4 linked regions of the Neodiprion lecontei genome follow. The protein of the gene in region 2 interacts with the protein of the main gene of each other region in a biochemical or structural test. Links are inferred from orthologs where the notes say so. Each region holds a gene or a part of one and is shown on either strand. Other genes may lie near its edges. The genes, in order: probable nuclear transport factor 2, GTP-binding nuclear protein Ran, importin-11 and importin-5.

Region 1 (6,213 bases), on a different chromosome or scaffold from region 2:
CATTTCAAGTTAATTATTATAAAACAGATAAAGGTGAATGGTACCAGAATCAGAAGAAACTTGACCTGTGCAAGGTTTAAGTAACTCTAAAAAAAAAAAGGATTCCGATCATTGAGAAACTTGCAATAATACAGATGATTATTATTCTGCACGGATAAAAGCAGTACGTCACTTAATAACAGGTCGTGAATTCATTCATATGATTATAGGATGATACATATTTTATATTTAACGTACAATTTCTAATTATTTATAAAAATACATAGGCCAATACGGTATTACAGGATATCTTTTTTTTTTTTACTTTTGGATTTTAAACTTAATAATATTTTCTACAGAAGAATTTCACGCTAACGGCCGTTATAACTTTAAGGCTATTCATAGAGGAAAAATAGTGAAAAATGGCGAGGGATGAAAAAAAAAAAAAAGGTTCTGATAGTATACGAAAGATGAAAGAAAAGTAACTGAGAATATGGGAGCCATAGCATTATGAATGAGGAAATTGAATAAACAAAATAATTATTGAATCCTGTTTATTGTTAAAAGATGGTTGTGGCCACGTTTGTATAAGATAAGCAGGAAATTCCTTGTATAAAAACTGTGGTATCTCTGAGGATAATGAGCGCTTAGTGTGCGATGACGAAGAATTTCAAAATGAAAGATTATTGGCTCACTTATCTTAAAGCTGGAAGCGAGCGTGGCTCACTGGTGAGTTTTATTAAATATTTCTTCTCTTTGTTTCTCTGTCTTTGTTCCAATCATCTTTTACATCGAGCGTGTCAGAAAGTAGCGAGAGATCTCACACAGTGTCGTGTATCCCAAGGCGGAAGATGTCGTGCTGACAAAAGAAAGAATTTCCCAGTGGCTTGAGCACAAATATTTGGGAGAATGCATGTGGTGGATCTTCGTCTGCCTAAAATGACAATTCAATCAATATTGTACAGATAAATTTCTTCTCGATCGTATAAAGAAGAACATTTTTCTGTATTCTAACAGAACCTTACCTAATGCTAATCTCATACGCCATGTATATAAAAATTCTGTTATTTAACATATTTTAAGGACAGTTGCTAGCTAAGATCTGTTTTAGGCATTATTTGCAAGTGAAAAATATAATAGAGTTGAATATGGATAATAAATCATGTATAGTTTCACAACTTCTTAATGCAAGCATAAGCAGAAGCGTCATAATACGTCTACGCAGCATCAAATGCAGAGCGTTATGCTAAAACAAAACGAAATTATAATCGAGACTGAAGAGAACAGAAATCAACACTGTGAAATTAATAGTTTTTACCAAAAGTATACTGAATTTCTCTTTTACAGATCTTAAAGTTTTCCAGCAACATGAGGAAAGTGTTACGATTGCCTGATCGGATATTAGTATAGAATATCAGATCATTATAGGATGAGGGCAGTTATTTTATTTATAATCGTCTGGGTTGAGGATGCTCAATATTGAGTAACAGGTCTGTGCTTATTACAATGAAAAATATTAGTTGAACATGAGGCCAATGTTAATCACTTATAAAATAGCGTACCCTTAGTTACAGGACAACAGTGCTTTTATGAGTGTTGTTTTACAATTTTCTAGGCGCCATCATACGCTAGTAGCATGATAGAGTTTATTACAAGTGGAACGAAAAATTGATATTTCTAATAAGAAAGCTCCGTAAAAAAAAAAAAAAAATGATTGATAAACGGATAACTGTTCTAAACCCAAGAACTGAGGTAATACTGAAATATTATTTGCTTGCCAGATTGGAATGCTAAAAAATAGAAGATACGTGTTGAAACAATCCATTAAAACAATCTTTTTTAAAAAGGAAAATAAAATAATAAGTTGATGCGAATCAGAACAAGCCAGGGGGTGCTTGCGTTAACAGAAATAAAAAGCAGAACGATAGAAGAAGGCTGAGCTTGCCTGTGCCCCGTCATGAAGATCGATGGACAAACGATGTCAGACATCTAGACAGTGTCGTGCAACGCGAGTCTGAAGATGTCGTGCTGCACGAAAAAGCTGGTACCAATAGCCTTCAGTACAAATGTCTGGATGTACGCGTGGGGCTGATCCTCGTCAGTCTGCCCAATCATCAACAATCACTGACTCAGTTCAATGTCTGATCTTCGGTACACGGACATAGATATTAAGGATAGGTGATGAAACACTTCTCAGTGATTGATAACATCTTTACACCTTTATATACCGATATGGAAAAATTCCTTTTTTTCATGCAATACGATACGCACGTGATAAAAAATTTGTTTAAAGATGAATTGACCCCACTTCGGATGGATGTAAAACGTTAACATTATCAACCTGGCCAGATGTTATTATATATCCTAAAAACTGAATGCCCAAACATTGGAAGGTGCATTTCGCAAATAATTCAGCAGCAATAAAAGATAAAACACTGTCTTATTATAGACAAATATAGAATAGGGTCAAAAAGTTTTATACCGCCAAAATTCTACCATGAAAATAGATTACAGCGAACGATTTAACTGAAGCTCAAATCAAGCTAATTTGTTCGCCACAGGTAACAATAAACTATGTATTCAGAGAAATACAATCATAACCGACAATCTGATTGAAGATATAGATATTGTTATGGCAAAATGTATATTCTAGTTTAACAGAATTAGCAGTAGAGTGGAAACTTGGACTATTTTACCAAATGTACGGCCAATTCCGCATCATAATTCCAAATGATAGCTAAAAAATCTTAATTTGTAAGTAAATGAAAGGCAAAATACAAAAATACATGAACAAATATTGTACAAAGCAAGCGATAATAATTATAATCAACGGAATAGATACACAGCTAGTTACATAGCTTTTCTGTAATGAAATGGTAAATTTATAAATGCATTCAGACCTAAATCAGTTCAAATTTAGCAACTGTTCCTTTTATTTATTCACTACCTGATCGTTTATTTGTTTATATTTTCTTCCACTCGATTTCAATGATCCTCTGTGAGTAATATTGAATTGTGAAATTAAATTAAAAGAATATGTAAACAATTTATAACACAGGGGCCTCTGCAGGGCCCAGCCGAAACGTCGGAAACGTTTAAACATGTTTACGTTTTCCAAATAATTAAACTCTCTTTACCTGACCGGAATTTTCGACTAACTTCATCTTCAATCAACCTCCTGGTCACGAATTTCTTCACATATGATATTTTAAACCGAATAAAATATAATCAAACAAGTGCCATTATGTGAAATACAGGGGAATCAGTTTACCTGCAACCTTCCAAGGACGTTGATCAATACACCTCCATCAAACATAGGTTGAGAGTCGATCGCAGTTATTATTCTATTAATTTTTTGAAAACTTAAGCTCTGAAATAAAAATAAAAGCAATTATCGCAGTTGAAGATAAAACAGTATGTGTAACAAATATTTTTATAACAACTTTTTTCTACTGTTATCACACCAGTTTAGTGTCAAGATATATCGAAATGCAATAAAAAACATTTGTGATCAGAGGGTGGTGCCCACTAAACTGTTAATTTCAAACTGACATGATTCGGAAGTTGCAAATTAAAAGGATATTATTTCTGAATAGCTCTCAACTCAACTGAGCATGAAACGAAGCCAGTACGATTACTTTCTGAGAACAGTTCCTGTCAAGGTTTACACGCTTTGTTTGAATGGATTATGATAAAAGAAGTTTAAGATTTAATCTATGACAGACCACTTTCATCGACAACAAGTAAACAAATGTAAAGTCAAGGCCAACTTTGTATACACAGTGGATATGCTAGATCTTTTAAATATCGGTCTACCGATTCTTTGAAGAAATCCTAAAACTACATCCGACGAGGCGTGAAACTGGGAACCGCAGGACTCGTTAACGCAATATAATACCATAGAGTGTCACCTTGGACACGGGAGAAATAATTAATCGTAGATTGGGTTGGGGTGGTGGGTGAACAGTACGTATAATAGGATAGTTTCATCTGCTTTGGGCGAGGTGAAGTATCAATAGTTTTTTATTACAACTTACAGTCAACTTCTCCATGATCTTAATAGCTCCTTGAATCTGTAATCCTTCGAAGGTCATGAAGGACGATTCTGTCTGTAAGGGTTAGGCGAGTTAACGATTTTGCGTAAGAATAGTAATTCATGTATGGAGGTTATGCGATATACGTTATACCCACATTGTACATATTTATTAGATTCGGCCTCTGAACTGGGTCGTCAAATAACGCGTAGTATTGTTGGACGAAGCCCTTCCCGATGGCTTCGTATGACGGGTTTAACGCCATTATCACGTTATTATTTACGTTCGTACCTATTATAAAATATATATCTATAACAACTATAATTCGGTTAGGTGGTTTAACCCGCGCCAACGATTAACAGTTCGAGAAAAATCCTAGGAAAGGGACAAAACAACGCCGTTCGACATCCCCTCGTGCCACTTGCCAAAAGCGGGGAGGAAACGATCAGCGATACCAAAATTATCGGTGATACCTACTTCGAGACTCTCGTAGCAAACGATAATCGAACGCTGATCTCGAATATCGACCTCTCGAACTTGTTCAAACCACGAAAACTGCACGACATGTCTGTATGCCCTGTTTTCCACTCTCCATATGTTTCGGTAATGAAAATACGGATACATAATTACCGAAATTAGATTCCTTCATGCTTTTGAGCAGTTTAAAGGAAACGAATAATTTCTTCATTTTTATTGTACACTTATCTACTAACGTCTATTACTTGACGAGAGCGCCTGGATTGCCTGGTCGAAAAGTGAACAATAATGTGATGCAGGTTGCCTGACATAAGGCTGTAAAGGCTCTGAATCAATTTATAATAAAAATCATTTTGCGAGTTGAATTTTATTTTTTTGAAGAAGAAATAGACTTCAGAATAAATGTCAACTGTAGTACGAAAGTTTAGTTTTACGTACCACACGTACCTCGTGAATTCTTATAGCTACGCTTAATCTAAGCTGTGCTTTCGAAAATATTATTTCACTTTGCCAAATCAAACTTAGCCGAGAATTAGGAGCTGCTATGCATGTATTAAATGCACTATAAACAAGATAGTTTATTGCTGATATTTATATACGAAAAAGAAAATTTTTCGCATAAAGAAAAAGGTTTAATACGTAATTAGAGAAAATAATAGTTGCAGCGCTATATTATACAGACGAAGTCTGGTTCTATTATTTTTAGATGCTGTTCGACCTAAATTCTAATTCGCTACAATTTCGTTGATTTTATCTATGTCTAGATTATGGAAGTCTAGACTAAAGTTTGTAGAATATTACAATAAAATCTTACAACATTTTAAATGCTGTACGTATTTACAATTGATTTCGAAATCTGTGTTTCTGTTAGGACGGGAAACACGCTACGTACTGCGATCTATCACGGCTAATATCAACGGATACTGATTCGTCACGTACGAGACATGTTTTCATTATGAATAATTGATGCGCTAATTGCGTGTATGCTTCGCTTTATAATATCTGTGTTATGATAAAAAAAATCATTCGCGCATTGAAGCAATGACTCGTACTTCCAAAACATGGATTACTCTAAAACGGTATTTAAGTAATTCTAATGTCCATGGACTTCGGTACGTAGTCGAAGATGGTCTACATTGGACTGAAAGGTACACTACGTTGAATTTTTTTTCAAGTGTTGATATACAATAGCGGACATAATTATTTTTCTCCTATTGAATCGCAGATTATTTTGGCTAGTCACTTGTGCTCTGTGCTGGTGGGGCTGTATAACAATGATCAACAATTCGTTGGATGCTTTTCTGAATCGATCGGTTGCGTTCACCATAGAAAGCACGTACCTCAATTGGCAAACGAAATTACCATCGCTTAGCGTTTGCATGCGTACCGTTCCAAAATCCCTGATCACCGCTAACTCTTTGTATGTTTTAAAAACTGAAAAAATAAAATGTGTCAAGGTTTTGTAAAAATTGTATATTGGATATGGTGCGTTGAGTAGGTAAAATTTTTGTTTTTTCGTTTTTTAGACACAGTAAAAAATTTGGTTCCAAAATAAATCCCTACGCATGGCGCTGGCTATTTTCTGGTATCACCAAAAAATCCAGTAAACAGGTTACAAACGAATTTACCAAGTTGACTTCTGACGATATTGTCAGTCTTTTCACGGAGGTGAGCTACTGTACTCTCATAATATCTACGTGAATTTTATCTGAAACTGAGTGTC
Region 2 (4,707 bases):
TTTCATTGTTGATTTATTTATTTCACATGTATTAGCGGTGTAATTTTCTCTTCGCATAAATCCTTCTCTATTGATTGATAACGAAAGGAAGAATTGATCGAAATTACAACGTTCAAAAATTCAATACTACTACATAATGTAATGTTTAAAGTGATGTTAACATTGTTACAAAAAGAAGTAATCGAAATTTTCCACACAGTTTGTGAAAAGAAGTCTGTCACACAAATTTTCTATTTACGTTAATCAAAGAAAATAAAAATAAAAAACGAATAGAATAAATTAACTGGTTCGAGTACAGAAGAAAAAAGAACTGTAGGTAATTTTTGTTACAATTTAAATTCAAGCCGAACAAAGCATACATACACTTTCGCTTATAAAAATAGTAAACAGTCCTCAAGAACGTGGAAAGACGCAAACATACTCTGTCCATACGAGTACAATTCATGGAACGATATTACATAGTTTAGTAATTATTTATTAATAATCTACCCTTTCAAGCACACACTCGCAGACAACAGACAATCCCTAAAGTAGCCGGTTACTCCCAATAAATACCATTGTTACTTTTTTTTTTGAACCATTCTTCTTGTAATTTTAAATTCAGTTTAGTTCACAGTGAGCTAACACGCATTCTTATGCAATCGAAGGACTTTTTCTTTGCAAAAGTATCTTTCGTGTATATTACGATTCATGTTATAATTAATCCTTGTCATTAAAAATAAGTCAAGAATTTAACACATGTTTCAGTATACGGTTCTAATTTTGAAAATAAAGCAAAACCATTGATTATTAAATAAGTTAAATGTATTTTAGTATCCACAAATACAACAATTGTAACCAGCATACAAGAAAAAAAATGATTGCAGAAAAAAGTAGACGTTAAAAATTATGCAGTCGATGCATTATTCACAATAAAAAATTTTAAAGTGAACAATCACAAAAATATCCAACTTTAAAACGCGCTAATTTCATAATCGAATAACTACAATGTTATCAGAATACTTAAAAAAAAAAAATTTCTATTTAGTTGGATACTCAAGTAATGCGATATGAATTACAAAGAAAAATGATAAAGGAATTTTCATAAAAGGAAAGTTCCTTCGACCGATATTTATATAATTATTTTATTCGCATTAAACATTTAAGGGCGAGCACATGACGTGCAGTAAGGCGCTCGCCAAGACCTCGCAGTAAGGCCTTCAGCATTGATTGATGGTAATGAAACTAAAGGTCCTCATCGTCTTCCGGGAGCGCTGTCTCCTGAGCTTCTTTGAGATCCTTTTCAATTTGTTGCTGCCATTGTGGGTCCATTGTGACTTCAGGTGGCAGGAGAGCCGGCATAGCGACGAACTCCAAGTTAGGATCTCCGATCAGTTTGCGAGCCAGCCACAAGAACGGTTTCTCAAAGTTGTAATTACTCTTCGCACTGATGTCGTAATACTGTTAAAATCAAATGCAAAATATCAACAAATTGCATTTTTCTACATTTCAAGTATCAAAATTATTTTAAACAGTTTGCACAGATGTTCGAACACAACAGAAGCAGCTATGAGATCGAGGTAGGGAGTCTGCGTAAATTTGCATCAACAGAAAGAACAACATACCTGAAGATTCTTCTTCCTGTGAAATACGATGCTCTTGGCTTTGACTTTTCTGTCCTTGATGTCAACCTTGTTGCCGCATAGTACGATAGGAATGTTTTCGCAGACTCTAACTAAATCTCTGTGCCAGTTTGGTACATTTTTATAGGTGACACGAGATGTTACGTCAAACATGATAACGGCGCATTGTCCCTGGATATAGTAACCGTCTCGAAGACCTCCGAATTTCTCCTGCCCAGCAGTGTCCCAAACGTTGAATCTGATCGGCCCTCTATTCGTGTGAAATATCAAGGGATGGACTTCGACGCCCAGTGTCGCAACGTACTTCTTTTCAAATTCACCCGTCAAGTGCCTCTTGACGAAGGTCGTTTTGCCCGTACCTCCGTCGCCGACGAGGACGCACTTGAAGGTGGGCATATCGGGTTCCTGAGTCATCTTGGCTGATATTGTTCCAACGTTCCTGCCTCACTGTGAACAATATTATCCAAGGATTAAAGGAGGTAAAATACAGGGCGGAAGCGAAGATCCGCGTGGCGAGAAATAACTATAACGAAATATTCGTCTACGTGGGACAATCACGCGCGAGAAACGTGACTTGTTAATCCAACCTCTATATATGTATCATCGGTACAGACAGTGACGCTGACTATGAAGACGGATCGAGGATCGCGATGATGCCTAACCGAAAGCCAAACGCCGGCCTGAACTTTCGGAGTTTATCGCGACACAGAGATGCCGGTCGGTTCGGTTTCCGCCGCGTGCGTTCCACGCCGGCATTAAACGGTCGAGAAATGATCTCGTTAAGCGTAGAAATGGCGCCGCTCGGTTGTATCAAGGGAAATTGATGTTAAAAGACCGGTATCGCCGAGAAGCGGTAACCGACTCAAGTTCAACGTTTTTCGAAATATATCCGTGCTCCGTTGGTGAAAAATGTCGAATATTTCAGAGCGGCAAGGGAATTTCCCGGTATAATACGATGTACGTGAAAATGGGCGATAAAACTCACCGTCTCGCACAGTCGTTATGGTTCACAATGGCGTTCCTCAGGGTAGGCGAACGGCGGTAGAGGACCTCGTCATTCGTCGGACGCGAGGGTCGATAGGTTGTGAATGAAAGTGGTGCGGTTAGAAGCGAAAAAATAAGAAAACAATTATGAACAGGGTGTGTTTGCAAAATAAAAAACGGTACGGTTGTGCTGATGAGAAATAAATCGGCGAAGCGACATCTGACGTGCGCCGTTTTGACGTCAGCTGCGCATGCGCACTAATCGGCGACGGCACTGCAGAAGCAGGCGAATCGCGAGACGTATCGATTTTATGATCGTGTCTCGCGGTTAGTGTGTCCGTTTCCTTAGTTTTTAGTGGCTGTGCATCCTCCTCTTACATGGATAAAATCGTGAATGGGATTATTTACTAGGTGGATTTTGCTCTACGCCCAGTGACTCGCGACACGTGATAAAACATGACCAAGGATAGATTAGCGGCCCTCGTCGCGGTGAGTTTATACACAATTACACGCACCTCGCTCCTGCTGCCGAGCCGCTAGACAACCGTTCACAACCTCGTAACGTGTTACATTACGTACGAATATACGATGCCAGTCGAGATACGCTTGTCACGGCTCGACCCACCCCGATAGTGCGGTTGCCGGATGAAAAACAATGCGTCGAATTGAGCCCGATAGGTTAACGTCGTTTTAAACGTGCAAAAATCGCTCCAGGACACTTATCACCTACGTCCTGGCAACCGCTTCGCCGGTATCCTTAGGTGACAGGTGTCTATGGTCCGCGTCATCGGCCTATTTCAGCTGCTGACTGACTTCTCTCCTTCTCTCTCTCTCTATATATATATATATATCTCCATATATCTCTATGATGCAGCCAGTGAGCTGTCATCTTATCTGCCTATGCCCCACCCCTTTGTCGCTTTCATTACCTGTCAATCTCGTAACAAAAGATATTTTCCTTCTTCCGTTTTTTATTCTCTTCCTCCCACTGTCAAACCGTATTAGGAAACGACGCTTAGTTCTCTCCATATCGAGTCGGCTCTAATCAGATCTCGAATCAGATTCGTCTCTTCTCTTTTTTTTTTGTATTCTTTTGATTGTAGCAATTTCCGGCTAATTCACCGAATCCAATCAATTGGCAGGAAAATGTTCGTAAATATCGTTTACTACGAAAGTACGAACGGTTTTCGTCGTATTGACACAGTGCGCGTACACATCTGTACACAGAGCTGTATTATCTCACATTTGTACACAGTACCGTTGATTACTCAATCGTTCCGTTATTCCGAGTACAATACCTAGTGTCCAGATATTTTTTCACCCCTCCGATTTGTTGAATATCTGTAAAAATTACAAAACAACAACGCTAGATCAGTAGATGAAAAACTTTGCGTCATTTATATCGGTGATTCGCACGGTACTGCAGCGAAGAAACAACTTGTGTACTTTGATTACGCATCGAGAGAAAGAGTCACGATGAAAAACAACCCTGTGCTAACTCGAATGTCAAATCCTCCGAGAAGGCCGTCGGCACATTCTTCCGTCCTTCAAAAGCTGTTCCACATACCCGACGGCGTCACAAATACACAGTAAACTTGTCAGTTTTATCACTGAAACGATAATAGCTCCGGGATATCATTTTATCGTATTATTCGTGCGCATTGGGTTAGAAATATTAGGCATTCGTTTGGCAGGGTTTTCCGAGTATGATTCTCGTATCCTTTTCCGTACGAAAAATGTGAAATCAGTTCTTGACTTGACCGGAAACTGATTATCGGTTGAGAATTCTTATCACCGGTTACTCGGCTGGTTGTTGCGTGAGCGAATCGAGCTTCCTCTTCTTCGCAATACCTTGAAAAATTTTCTCCGCAGAGACGTTGAAGTGACAGTTTTTACGTATTTAAAATGCACGTGTACGTTATGACGATAATTGAAAATTTTTACTTTTTTCACAGGCTCAGTCGGACGATGACGACGTGGCGGACGAGGTGTCCGTCAACGTGGGAGGGCAGGATGATTTCATGACGGAATTCTTCGCGGAGGTGAGTTTGAAAAATTCGCATTAAAGAGGAATGGAAGAGAAATCGACGAATCGAAAGTA
Region 3 (8,024 bases), on a different chromosome or scaffold from region 2:
CACATGAACGTTTCTAAGATATGTTGGTTCACTTAGACACTGCCTGAGCATGGCTAGTAGTTTTGGAATTTCATAGATCTAAGTGCAAAGGTGATATGTCGTACCTGAAGCGTAAGTGGGGTGATCAAACGCTGAATCTTCGGTGCCTTATGACGCTCCTTCTTACCTTCCTTGCGCACCGGCCGTTTGACTACAAATTGACGTACGTCATCATCCTTAGTCAGGTTAAACAGCTTGCGGATTTTGCTTGCACGCTTAGGCCCAAGACGACGAGGTACATTCTTGTCAGTCAATCCCGGAATTTCCTAATTATAAAAAAAAAACTCTTGAAATTGAATAAACAACGCATGAAAGTAATTTATTGGCTAAACCTGATCTAATTCATGAATAATTGTAATCGATTGTATTCAAATACAAGTAAAAAGGTATTTTGTGTCATTTGTACACTAAGATAGAGTGCAAAGATTATACACAATTTCTCAAATCTATAAATGACCATTTCATTTTCCACGCACATGAACGCCCCCAATAGAATTTGTAATAATTGGACACTGCCTGAGCGTGGATTAGAGTTGCCACAAGATTGTACAAAATAAAGAGATGTAAAGATTTTCAGATGTAAAATAATAAATTAATGTATATGAAAAAGTTGATTTGCAACATTGTAAAACATGAGTGAATAAAAATAAACATCAAGAATCATTATTATGATATCCACCAATTTGGAAAGGAAAAACCCTAACCAACTAAAAATCATATTTTGCCTCACTATACCAAACAGAAAATTACCTACATTAATGAATATTCTTAGATAATTTACTAAATTCTATTACTTGTTCCTAACCTGCAATAGAAATTAACTTAAACTGATTCAGGTGTTAGCTGATGCATAATGTTAATGACAATATATTGGATTTAGGAAAGCCATTTTTACCTGCTCGCCTTTTTTCACAATAACGAGTGCGAGAACTGAGAGATTGGCATCAACAATACAACCTCGCACTGATTTACGTTTACGCTCACCGTCACGACGCGGTCTGTAGCAAGAATGTCCTTTAGATAGAAGCAGACGTACACGACCTGCAAAAAAAGAAATAATTGCTAAATATTGTCAGAGCACTGGATTTACCAACAGTGGAATTATCATGTACCATTGGTCAGGACACCCTGCTTCATGGGGAAACCTTGCTTGTCGTTTCCACCAGCTACGCGTACAACGTATCCTTTCCATTCGTCACCTAGTGTGTCAGCTTCTACTTCAGCACCCATACGCTTCTCGTAGAAAACTCTGAGCTTGTGCTCATCCGTTATTTCGAGTAGTTTTTGGCATCCTGTTGCCGGAAACGACACGTTCAGCTAAAAAAAATTATCAAGTATATTGACCAATGAAAGTCGAATTGGTAAATTTACGATCAATATCGATCGCTGAATGGAACCCCCAATTGACGCGTTATTAAATTATGGCCTACAATGACTGCGATGTAGTGTCCAAAATTCAATATAAATAGGTATGTCATTTGGGGCTACATGGGGAATTGTTTATAGGTTAGATTCCGACTGACGGGTAATATATTTCGAAACGTGTATCAGTGACATTCGATTGCGTTTGTTACAAATACGTGTGACATGATATAATTTTGAGTGTTAAATTTATCATAGCGTAGTTTAATATAAGGAATAAATTGTGGTTTGGCCACAACGATATACAAGCCCCGTGTCCCGCACTAATCAACAAAATTTGCAAAAATGAACTTGTTTCGGTTAAATAAAGAAAGATAAGCCATATCTGCACAGAACTATTCCTTGTATATCGCCCTTCAATTAGCGCACTTTATTTTTCTGGAGTATTAAGGGATTCTTGAGATATTATTGGATTTCTACCTTCATGGTGACAAGAACTATGCCGCGCCACGAGCCATGTAGTAAGAAAGAACTCCGGTGAACACCGGCAGAGTGCGCTTACCGGAAGTTTCGAGGGTGGAGGCCACGTGACCTCCGACGGTCAAATCACAGTCGCCAACGGTGTAAAATAAAAGATCTTTGGCTTTGCCCAAAATCCTAAATGCCGACTTGCGTTGTGACATTCCGATTAATAGAGAACTTGAAGAGGAAATTTCTTATTTATTAAATTTGTATGTACGTAAATATCTATAATAGATGGAGTGTTTTGAACGTAATTCAATCAATTGCATCTGAGCAAGGTAATCGGGTACTTTTGTAACACGTTTTTTTCTCAACAAAATACTGTGTATAGGTTAGTTCCCGTGCCACCCAATCTTTACCGCACATCGAAATTACTCTGAATTTTGAAAAACAATCTAACTTACCAAATCCGCCTAAATTTCGGCAATAGATTACGATGAATCCCAGATGCTGATATTTATAAAACAATGTTATTCCACGAGCGGGGAATTAATTTTGTTCCAAACGCTTATGCATACATTTGTTTATGAATTATTCGATTTAAGCTTCTAGTCATGAGTGATTTAAAAGAATTTCGATGTAAAAATAGATCAAATTCTCAGTATTCTTTGTCTTCTTTATGAATCTGCATGATCGTACTTTTCCTTTAAATGGTAAGCCACTTTGATTTCATTTACAGAATTCGTATAATTCGTGAAAAAACGAAGATATAGTGTTGTTCGTTCGAATCATTAACTTGCACACGCAGTGTTCATGTCCGATGATTAATATATTCGATATCCTCTTGCACATTAATCTATATAACAAATAATATATATCTTAGTACTGCCACCAGCTGTTACAAGGAGTTACAAATATTTTTGCGAGTTATAATGTGCATGTCCAAAAATAACATTCATTACTTGCAAGCTGCAGTTTATTTATATAGTTACTTTCTCAGACAATAACCATCCTTAGACTTTTACAATAGTAAAAGTTGTAGGGTAAATATTATCTGATCACTAAACTTATATGAGCGGCAATATAATCTTGAATTATTCATTGAGTATATGAATTTTAAAATCATTTTCTTCGGTAATTGCTTTTCTGTTTACATGCAAATCCTTAAGAATTCATTGTATTTTTTCAGAGCAACGATATGGATGCAGCAGTTGTGGATATTTTACATAAGGCTGGTAGCCAAGATCCAAATGTACTCAAGCTAGCTGAACAGACTCTGAAAGAATGGGAAACACAACGTGGATTTTACACAGCATTATTTGTAAGATTCTGAATCCTTTAACTATCTGAAAATTCTTCGAATCAGCTATAAATGATCTGCAGAGGCATGCTAAATCTATGAAAAATGTACATGTAAATTTTGAATTGCACATGTACACCAGTATCAAAAAATTTGAGGTACCTGCAAAGTAGCGCACTTAAAATTGTGCAGTATGATAAAATTTTGATTTCGTTTACAGAATGTTTTTTCGAATCATTCCTTGGACATTAATGTAAGGTGGATTGCTATATTGTATTTCAAGAATGGCGTTGACCGATACTGGAGAAGAAATGCGCCAAAGTGAGTATAGATTCTTGTTATTATAAGTAAACTTGGTGTTCCTCACTCACTTTTCATATATACATAATTAACATGATGTTTTTGAACAGTGAAATAGCGGCAGATGAAAAAGAGTTTCTTCGACAACATTTGATTGCTGACTTCAACGAGCCTGTTAATCAATTGGCTGTACAGCTGGCAGTTTTAATAGCGAAGATAGCTAGGTGAGCCTTGATTCATTTTGTTCATAACCAGTTCTACTAGTTTTCATATTCGAACGGCACTACAATGCATTACTTGCAAATATATGAGTATGGTTTTGGTTGTAACTGAATTTAGGCAGCACCAACACACAAAATCTATTTAGATTCTTATGAAATTCTTTTGATTCCATAGGTATGACTGTCCCAGAGAATGGAGCACATTGGTACCAACTCTTTTAGAAGGAGTAAGAGGAGAGAATCCATTGACGCAGCATAGAGCGTTGTTGACACTTCATCACGTTGTCAAAACTTTAGCATCCATAAGATTAGTTGCAGACCGAAGGTTGTTTCAGGAATTAACAGCGAACGTGTTTAATTTCATTTTAAATTTATGGAACACTTATACCGAATCATTTCTGGTATTAGCATCGAACTCAGCTAGTCCAAATCAAATTCAAGAGGCATTAGAAAAAGCTTTGCTTTTACTGAGAATCCTCAGAAAATTGGTTGTCAGTCCATTTAACAAACCGTCCGAATCTCAAGATGCTATGATGTTTCTAAAAGTTGTTTTTGATCGAGCACGGAATAGCTTGGAGTGTAGTAAGTATTCTGACTTACTTCTCGTAAATGCACAAATAGATTTCGATTTTACATTATTTAATATCTGATTTTTAGGGAAAACTTTAATTTCACGTGGAATACAATTGGATGTGTGCGATAAATTTATAATTCACCTCACTAAAGTTTTGATAGGAGTACTGGAAGTGCATCCATTCTCCTATGTCGAACTCATACCTACATCATTAGAGTTCTCTGTGTTTTATTGTTTCACTGAAACTGGCCAAGAATTGGCATTCGAAAGGTTTATCATACAGTGCTTGAACCTGATGAAAGGAATATTGCTATGCAGTGACTACAGACCTGCCAAAATTATACAAGGCATGTGGAAGTTGCTACTTTGTGCGTTTTATATTATAGACACTAGATATATCACTAATTAAAACCTGAAATTTCTCATTTCTTCAGAAACAAAAAACCCTCTTACTCTGAGGGCATATCAATTACGACAGGAATTTTTTACAGTCGAGACACTGACTGAAATTTGCTCAAGATTGGTCACACATTATTTCGTTTTAACTCCAGCTGATTTAGAGCAATGGGATTCTGATCCTGAAAACTTTGGTAATGTTGCAACACCAAGAATTTTAATTATTACTTAACATCTACCAGATTGCATTACTGAACTTACATTGCACTGCACTGAATTATTTTCTAGTTGTTGATGATGGCGGAGAGGCATGGAAATACAGTTTGAGGGTAAATAATTTTTTTAAATTTATAATACCCTATATAGCTTTTAGTTTTAATCGTTTATTGCATACACTAAGGCTTGAAATCTGAAAAGTGTACATAAGTAAACTTATTGATCATGTTTATGATTAAACAATATTAACTTATTACAGCCATGTACAGAATCAGTGTTCTTGGCTGTTTTCCATCAATTCAGGGATGTGCTTGCATCTGTATTAGTGGAACTAATGCAGAGCCACCATCAGCCTGTAGATCCTAATAATTTACATGCCATTCTTCTGAAAGATGCTGTTTATAATGCTGTTGGTCTTGCAGCATTTGACTTATATGATGAGGTAATTTACATTCGATTATTCTATCTATTGATGAGAATTTATAAATGAAAATCTTGTCCAAAAGTATGCTGACTTTTATGTCACTATTCACCGCGCATTGCATTATATTCGATTTTTTGGACTATCCTTCTAATGATTGATCGATTTGTTCTTTATTTCAATTCCATTTCAGGTGAACTTCGATCAGTGGTTTTCAACTACACTGAAACAAGAATTGAAAGTTGTAAGCAACAATTATAGGATAATTAGAAGACGCGTATGTTGGCTCATTGGGCAGTGGACCGGTGAGTGTGTCGGAAAAGGGCTTCAATATTTTCATTTACACTACTTGGCTAACTGATAATTTTATAATAAATAAATCAATTCCCAGGTGTCAAACTGAGTCCAGAACTGAGGCCTGAATTGTACAAATTGATGGTAGAATCGCTGAACCCTGAAGAAGATCTTGGAGTAAGATTAGCAGCAAGTGATGCCTTGAAATTGGCGATTGATGACTTCCAATTTCATACTGACGAATTTTCACCTTACCTAGAACCTGCATTTTCGTTACTGTTTGCTTTGCTTAAGGAGGTCCATGAGTGTGATACAAAAGTAAAAGGCTTTCAGCATATAATACTCATGCATCAAAATTTCAACAGGAAAGTTTAATGCAATCAACATTTTCGATCTAACGATGTTTCGATTTACAGATGCATGTTTTATATGTATTATCTTTCATGATCGAGAGAGTGGGCTGTGGGATAAGACCGCATGTAGGGGCGTTGAGTGCCTACATACCAGCTCTGTGGCAACAATCAGAGGAGCACAATATGCTCAGGTGTGCAATAGTATCCACCCTGGTACACCTCGAGAAGGTTGGTTTGTTAACAAGTCAGAAGTGTGAAATATGATTTAAAAAAAAGTTCATTTAGATATGTATTCCTATAATTAAACTGTTCCTAGGCTCTTGGATCTGAAAGCGTTGCATTGCAGCCAATGGTCGTGGGTGTAGTAGCGATGAGTTGCGACTTGACACAGGATGGCCACGTTTATTTACTGGAGGATGGACTAGAGCTCTGGTTGGCACTCCTGGAGAATGCCCCTGCATCTACACCTGCGATAATGGATCTCTTCAGAAATATGCCTGCCCTATTAGGTCGGTAATACCATCGTGAAATCAACAAGGTGTGCACGCCTAGCATAGAGAATGCGGCAGGTTGCGATACATCAATTGTTAACATTAAAGTGCAATGTCTAGCCATCAGTTTCTGTATTTTATACTTTACGCGGTACTTCAGACATTATATTACCGCAGTATGATTAGCGCGTTTATGTATGCGCGAAACCTCGTCTTCTATTTAAGAACAACAAAATTCAATGAATTTCGTATTTTTCTGTGTAGAAAGATCCGCGGAAAACCTAAGGCTATGCTTGTACATAGTACAGGCGTATGTATTACTGAGTCCTCAAGAATTTCTGGGTGATAGAGGAGCTGTGGTGGTAGCTACTTTGGGCTCAATTATAGGAGATTTACGATCGGAAGGAATAGTAATGGCAATGCGACTAGTCGAAACGTGTTTACGAGCTTTGTCACATCAGGGGGCACAACTCATCAAGCCGTTATTAACAAAAATATTCGAGTAAGTATTATAAACTATCATCTAAAAATCACTTTGCCAAATATTGATTTCAATTTCATTACAGGAGTGTCTACAAAGGCGAGGAATACCCAATGGTTATGTCAATGTATTTATCGATAGTTGCTCGCGTTTTGTTAGTATCCAGGGATATCTTTGTACAGGTAATGAATGAATTTCAGTTTTAAAAACTGACCAATCATTATATTTGTGCATATTATATTTCAGGTGATAGGAGAGTTATCTAGACAAGTAGGTGGCGGTGAATGGAGTGAAGAGGCAGTTCTTGGTAGAATGGTTTCAATCTGGGTAAACAGAATGCCTCTTGTCTCGCAATTAGAAAGACGTAAACTGCTGGCACTTGGTCTATGCTCGTTGCTTGGCGCTGACAGTCCACCCTGCGTTCTTCAACATTTTCCACGCATGGTATCAAATATTGTTGAAGCCTTGAACGATATTACAAAGATCGACGACATGGGCTGTCCCATCGAGTAGGCAGTTATTAATTATTCTATTCTTGCATGCCTCATTTTTCTCTATATTAAAATTCGATTTTATAAATGGCATATATTTTTCTATCTCAAAGACAGTCACCAGTTTTGGAAATGCGTACCTTAGTTTATACAACGATTAAATTATTTCTAGAATTAATCAACTAATTTTATGTACACTTTGAAAATATCCAAAGTATTATAACGGTTGTTTGACTTGACCTTAGCTCGCTGATGATCAGTGATCAGCCAAGTCCCTCGCAATACGAAGATGTAGATTATGAGACGGAACATGAACAACGAAGAAGAAGACTAGCATTTGGAGATCCGGTACACAGTGTCTCTTTGCAAGACACGCTTCAAGCTCAAGTAATTCTATTATATATACTCAAAAAAATGTTTTGTATTTCTCGATTTCTGTCCATGTATCATTTAACAATATATGATTTTCCATTGATTGACAATTTTCAATATTGCAGCAATCGTTAACAATGAATGTGATTGATTTTCAGCTAATCGCGCTTCGAAGATTTGTAGGAGAGAGTCAGTTCGATCAAATGATGCTCACTCTAAATTCTGATACTGACCAACAGCTCAAGGAGTAC
Region 4 (4,738 bases), on a different chromosome or scaffold from region 2:
CATTAATCGAACATAGCTGCTGACTCCACATGATGTGTACATCGATTGCAAAGATAAAAAGATTGACAAAATCTCACCTATATTTCCAGTCTGTGTTACTAAGCATCGTTGGAATGTTCTGTACAATTTGCGGCAGCATCGTCTTGCCGCCAAGGCCACATGCCAGCCTGTCTAAAGCGCTCTCAGCAACGACGTTATTGCTGTCGTTGTCTTCTTCGATAATCTCATCAGAAAAGCTCCACTCCTCATCTTCCTCAAGGTCGGTCATCATCTTGAGAACGAGCGGCACCAGAGCGGCGATGTACTTACCTCCAACTTTGCGCACCATGGCTGGTGCGGTTTCGGCCAGTGTAACCAAGACTTCAAGCGCTAGCTGCCGCCAGGAGTCTCCCATCTCTTCGTTGGAGAATATTTTCATGCACATCTCCATAATGTTTTCCAGCTGGGGTCGCAGGAACTTTGGTGTCGACTCTGCCAGGTCGATAAGAACCTTGATCAAAAATTCATCATCTTGCTTCTCGACTGACTGCGCCATGACCTGGACCACTGCTGGCAGCAGCTCTGAGAAATGTTTCTGGATGTTTGTCTCCTTCTCGTGCAGCATGATGAAGGCGCCGATCGCCCGGACTGCTTGAAATCTCACCTATATTTCCCCGTAGAGTATAAGCGATGTTAAAAAAGTTTGCTTCGGAATATATATACATGTACGAAAATAGAATGAAAGTAAGAAAAGCATTTGTAAATAATCAGTATTTGTATATGGATCATTTATTTGCTCCGTATCTGTCTGTAATTTAACACTCAACAAGTTACAGTCATCAGAAAGCAGATATAATTTTGGGAGAAATTGTGAATAGTGGATACAATTTTACATCCGCTAACGTATCTTCCTCCCGATATATATGCATTATATACATGCGACTCACTTCGTAATTCGTTGCATCCAGCACAGACTGCTGTAACATCTGCTTTATTAGATCCAAGTAATGTGCTTGCTGGTTTCCGAAAACACCAGGTACAGACCTAAGTAAAAAAAATAGTACATTCAAGTTATAGTCAGTTGTTTCAGTGCCAGAATACGTCTCAACTTAGAACAAAACAAATCTTACGTGAACATGCGGAGAGCGCTCTCTTTGAGGGCAGGGACTGGCCCATTGGCACACTGGAATAGGAACTGAAGAAATTCCGGCCACTGATTGTTTCCGTCATCATCGATAAGATTTCGTGCAACTTCGGCAGCAACTTCGCATACCTTACGTCTGATTGTATCAGCTTGTTCCGTTTGAACAGAGAGTAAGATTCTCTCCTTCAGCTGAATTTGAGCTTCTGGTGGAATCTAAACAAGAAATTTTTTGAGACTGTTGTAGCAGCGACATGATGTGTGGTCCAAAGTGATTTGAAATATTCGTGTGGTGGTGTATGTTTCGAAACTATGACTACGCAATGAGAAACACGCAGCCAACTCTCAGAAACGCCTTACGAGGGCCTCGTTATCCCAGCTGTCAAAACGACAGATGGGAGAAAGACTGGACTAGCAAGTTCATCTGCCATGGGTGTAACGCTGTCAAACTCATTAATGGAAAATGACTGCTGACTCCACATGGCAAGCTAAAACGAGGATGCAAACGCAACACTTATGCCCATGGATATTTTTATCAAACTTATTCTAGGCAAATGTCAAATGGTCAATGCAGAAAAAATTAGGCAACTAGTTTCTAGTCAACAAGACTAAGTTGGTCAGAGGCTTTGCTTTGCTGATTAGTTTGGATGATTGAAACCAAGTGATATTTCACTTACTTTGGGATAAAAATCCATGAACTCTGAAGAAAACAATCTTCGAAGTAGGACTGCAGCCATTGCGCGCATTTCCTCGGCAAGTGTAGCATTGCAGATCGAGCCAAGCAAGAATGTCACCTTATTCTCCACTGGCAGGCTGTTGTACGCTTCCTAAAAAAACAAGGGGTTACAGGGGTTACTTATAAACTGATCTGCGCTAAACAAATCATGTCTTGTCTTTAAACTATGCATCACGTCAAGTTGAAAATCAAAGATTGAAATGACTTCTATCTCTCACATATCGTTGTGCATACATATGGTTCCTGACAGACACATATCCATGCACCTTCTGCGGTTCCTGTACGCACATACGAATAGGGAGTAAGAGTTTTTTATCAAGCCATCACGCAACATATAGCATATATCAATAGGCAGTATCACCAAGATCGTGTGAGTCTGTCATGGGCGAGGGACACGGTCCGATCATGTGGACAGAAGGCGAATTCGGGAATTGCGATGAGTAGTGAGGTGGATGCGCGAGGCGCGCGAATATCTCGCGACATGTACGTATATATAGACTCAGGGTGCGTGACTGTGCCAAATCGCGCGAAGCGCGTGGCTCGGGCAATGAATTGCGCGTCGGTGATCTTGAACGCCGATGATGCGCTTATTGGGAAATTGGAATCGGGGCTTAAGGGATACGGCGGCATGGAGGATGGCATGCGGCGTGGCCATGGCCGTGAGTAGGAGCGGTTTGGCGGGCCGCGCGGCACGCACCACCATTTTGACCTTTAAGCGAAAACCGGGCCACCTGTCAGGCCTCGAAGAGTCATTAAATATAAGTAGACGCGGCGAGGGTGTTGCGAGACGTGCCCGAGGCGGCGGCGTTGGGGCCAAAAAAGAGCGACGGGGACTTGCGAGACGACCGCATGTTAGCTTTTCTTTCGTGACAAACACGTTGCCGACAGGCTTGCAGCTGCGTTGTATCGCTTGTATTTCAAAAGCAACGACGTGTCCCGGTCGAACTGGGACGTCGGCTTCGCAAAGGGGAAATAATGGACGCCATTACGTACCTCGGCTTGCGTCCGGACATCGTTGTCGGTGCTTAGGAGTGTGTTTAAAAGCTGTTGGAACTGCTCGAGGTCTGCCGCCATTGTCACCGCCGAACGAATGAATCGCTGCGCAAGCACCTCCGAGTCGATCGTCATGCGGCGACACCGACTTGCCGCTAATACCACGTCGGAAAATTCCCCAGCTCATCGCGGAGAACTAACCGAGAACGCGATCTGTAACGCCACCTACCCGATCACCATGGTATGGCCAGAATTCCTCCAGATGACACTTCGGGGATTCTAGTTGGATGGGCTATGAAGTTCAAAATTTAGGTTCTCTTGAAATTCACTGGGGGCCTTTTCCATACTCAGGACAAAGACGATCGGATTGTGTTGGACGTTGAGTGAAGAATATAAAAACAGTTGCTATTATGGGCTTTGGTGTGACAAATGAAAATCGTCATGCGCTTGCGCTCCCTGAGATGTTCCGTTGACTGAAGAATATACAGTTGCCGTAATGGTATTTGGTGTTTAAGCCTAGGCCAGTACTTAGCCTGTGTGTACTTACCAACTTGTTGGCGATACAAGGAATTAATAATGAGAATAAATTTCTTCCGAAATTCGTAGCAAAACAGTGATTCAGTTAAAGTATAGGTACTCGAGAGAAGAATGTATACATAGATCATAAATCAGAATAGATCAGATGTAATAATGATGCAGAGACCGAAAAGTATGCTATAAGTATGTGCGGTCCATGTAAGATATTGATATGTATTACGATTAATACGTGATGCATACTATATATTTTATAATTTTCCAGCAGACAAACTTTATTATCTACAATAATACGGCTATAACATGAAAATAGAGGAGTTATTAATTTCGAAATGGGTTTCTATGCGACACACGCTCGATATATTCCATAACATCAATATTCATAATTATTCCAACAACTTTTCATTTGCTCTCTCGATCTTGAATTTTCGTAGACGTAGAATAGAAACGCTGATTTAGCTAGTCGCGAGTGAAGTATCTACGTTGGGTAGAGAAGCAGAATTGTTTCAAGAAGTGTTCGTATAGAAAAAAAATCGGAGTAACTGTAATACATCACGGATGCGCTAATTTTGATCGAGATGAAATGGATGCTCCGTATATGAGACAGTATTTAACGCAGTATCCTGATTTCAAGACCTAAAGAGGTGATTGTCGGCGATTTTTTTTTTTTTGACAGGGAGAGAAAGAACGAAGTTTCTTTAAACTTCGAGTGTATTTTAACACACATGTGAAGGGTACGAGCAAAAATTTTTATCATCCAACTATCGTAGAACGACAGCGTTATTAGCAGACCCGTAACTGAAGAATATATGTCTTTAGTCAACGGCTGACCATCGAAGGACCTAGCCGCTTGAATCGGCAGGAAAGATAACGTGCGTATTTCTTGTCTGTAATGTGTAAACTAAAATCATGATAAATCTCGTCATATCATGCATCATACATCATACATCATACATGGTATTAAAGTTCAAAACCATAGTTTGGATGATCGGATTTTCAGAAAGTGACGTCTCCTAAAATTTTTTTTCTCTTGACGTCATCGATCTACAGTAATCAGCTAGTCGAATTCGTCAGTCTGGAAACAACCGCGCAGTAGAGCGGACGTATGAAAATCGCGTTCCGCAGATTTCGGGTACCGGGTTCTCTACCTCCGGGATCCTGCGCTTCGGGTCCGCTTCCTCGTGCGCCTCGAGTTCCAGGACAAGTGCTCCGTAGTTTCTACGCTCCTGGTCCGCTACCTGGTGGAACGCAACTTTCAGGACAAGCGCTCCGTGGTTCCTGCGCTCCAGGTTCGCTACCTGGTCAAACTTGACTTTTAAGACGAGCGCTCCGTAGTTTCGGCGCTACAGGTCCGC

What was found.
Region 1: the proteins of GTP-binding nuclear protein Ran (region 2) and probable nuclear transport factor 2 form a complex in vitro, tested with the Homo sapiens proteins (3 studies listed by BioGRID, with this or other methods). The link is inferred for Neodiprion lecontei from reciprocal best matches to the Homo sapiens genes RAN and NUTF2.
Region 3: the proteins of GTP-binding nuclear protein Ran (region 2) and importin-11 form a complex in vitro, tested with the Homo sapiens proteins (2 studies listed by BioGRID). The link is inferred for Neodiprion lecontei from reciprocal best matches to the Homo sapiens genes RAN and IPO11.
Region 4: the proteins of GTP-binding nuclear protein Ran (region 2) and importin-5 form a complex in vitro, tested with the Homo sapiens proteins (2 studies listed by BioGRID). The link is inferred for Neodiprion lecontei from reciprocal best matches to the Homo sapiens genes RAN and IPO5.

Annotation. Positions count from the first base shown.
Region 1 is NC_060264.1:3,873,292-3,879,504, forward strand, and holds probable nuclear transport factor 2, read right to left. Parts: upstream 4,460-6,213; 5' UTR 4,279-4,459; coding exon 4,171-4,278; intron 4,089-4,170; coding exon 4,017-4,088; intron 3,350-4,016; coding exon 3,251-3,349; intron 2,083-3,250; coding exon of another isoform or gene 1,969-2,082; exon of another isoform or gene 1,925-1,968; intron 914-1,924; coding exon 800-913; 3' UTR 517-799; downstream 1-516. Other genes in the region: sodium channel protein Nach, read left to right, coding at 5,765-5,910, 6,017-6,158. UniProt on the Homo sapiens protein: Mediates the import of GDP-bound RAN from the cytoplasm into the nucleus which is essential for the function of RAN in cargo receptor-mediated nucleocytoplasmic transport.
Region 2 is NC_060261.1:38,788,120-38,792,826, reverse strand, and holds GTP-binding nuclear protein Ran, read right to left. Parts: upstream 2,763-4,707; 5' UTR 2,608-2,762; intron 2,548-2,607; exon of another isoform or gene 2,210-2,547; intron 2,070-2,209; 5' UTR 2,037-2,069; coding exon 1,605-2,036; intron 1,441-1,604; coding exon 1,225-1,440; 3' UTR 527-1,224; downstream 1-526. Other genes in the region: syntaxin-1A, read left to right, coding at 3,063-3,095, 4,562-4,648. UniProt on the Homo sapiens protein: GTPase involved in nucleocytoplasmic transport, participating both to the import and the export from the nucleus of proteins and RNAs. Switches between a cytoplasmic GDP- and a nuclear GTP-bound state by nucleotide exchange and GTP hydrolysis.
Region 3 is NC_060265.1:24,089,102-24,097,125, forward strand, and holds the start of importin-11, read left to right. Parts: upstream 1-2,022; 5' UTR 2,023-2,201; intron 2,202-3,052; 5' UTR 3,053-3,061; coding exon 3,062-3,184; intron 3,185-3,383; coding exon 3,384-3,484; intron 3,485-3,573; coding exon 3,574-3,687; intron 3,688-3,859; coding exon 3,860-4,266; intron 4,267-4,341; coding exon 4,342-4,605; intron 4,606-4,692; coding exon 4,693-4,848; intron 4,849-4,942; coding exon 4,943-4,983; intron 4,984-5,129; coding exon 5,130-5,312; intron 5,313-5,484; coding exon 5,485-5,596; intron 5,597-5,682; coding exon 5,683-5,903; intron 5,904-6,001; coding exon 6,002-6,166; intron 6,167-6,254; coding exon 6,255-6,447; intron 6,448-6,693; coding exon 6,694-6,931; intron 6,932-6,995; coding exon 6,996-7,092; intron 7,093-7,156; coding exon 7,157-7,419; intron 7,420-7,646; coding exon 7,647-7,788; intron 7,789-7,931; coding exon 7,932-8,024. Other genes in the region: 40S ribosomal protein S6, read right to left, coding at 105-305, 935-1,080, 1,152-1,356, 1,882-1,887. UniProt on the Homo sapiens protein: Functions in nuclear protein import as nuclear transport receptor. Serves as receptor for nuclear localization signals (NLS) in cargo substrates.
Region 4 is NC_060264.1:23,246,887-23,251,624, reverse strand, and holds the start of importin-5, read right to left. Parts: upstream 3,013-4,738; 5' UTR 2,985-3,012; coding exon 2,850-2,984; intron 1,948-2,849; coding exon 1,798-1,947; intron 1,337-1,797; coding exon 1,110-1,336; intron 1,024-1,109; coding exon 927-1,023; intron 897-926; exon of another isoform or gene 767-896; intron 644-766; coding exon 78-643; intron 1-77. UniProt on the Homo sapiens protein: Functions in nuclear protein import as nuclear transport receptor. Serves as receptor for nuclear localization signals (NLS) in cargo substrates.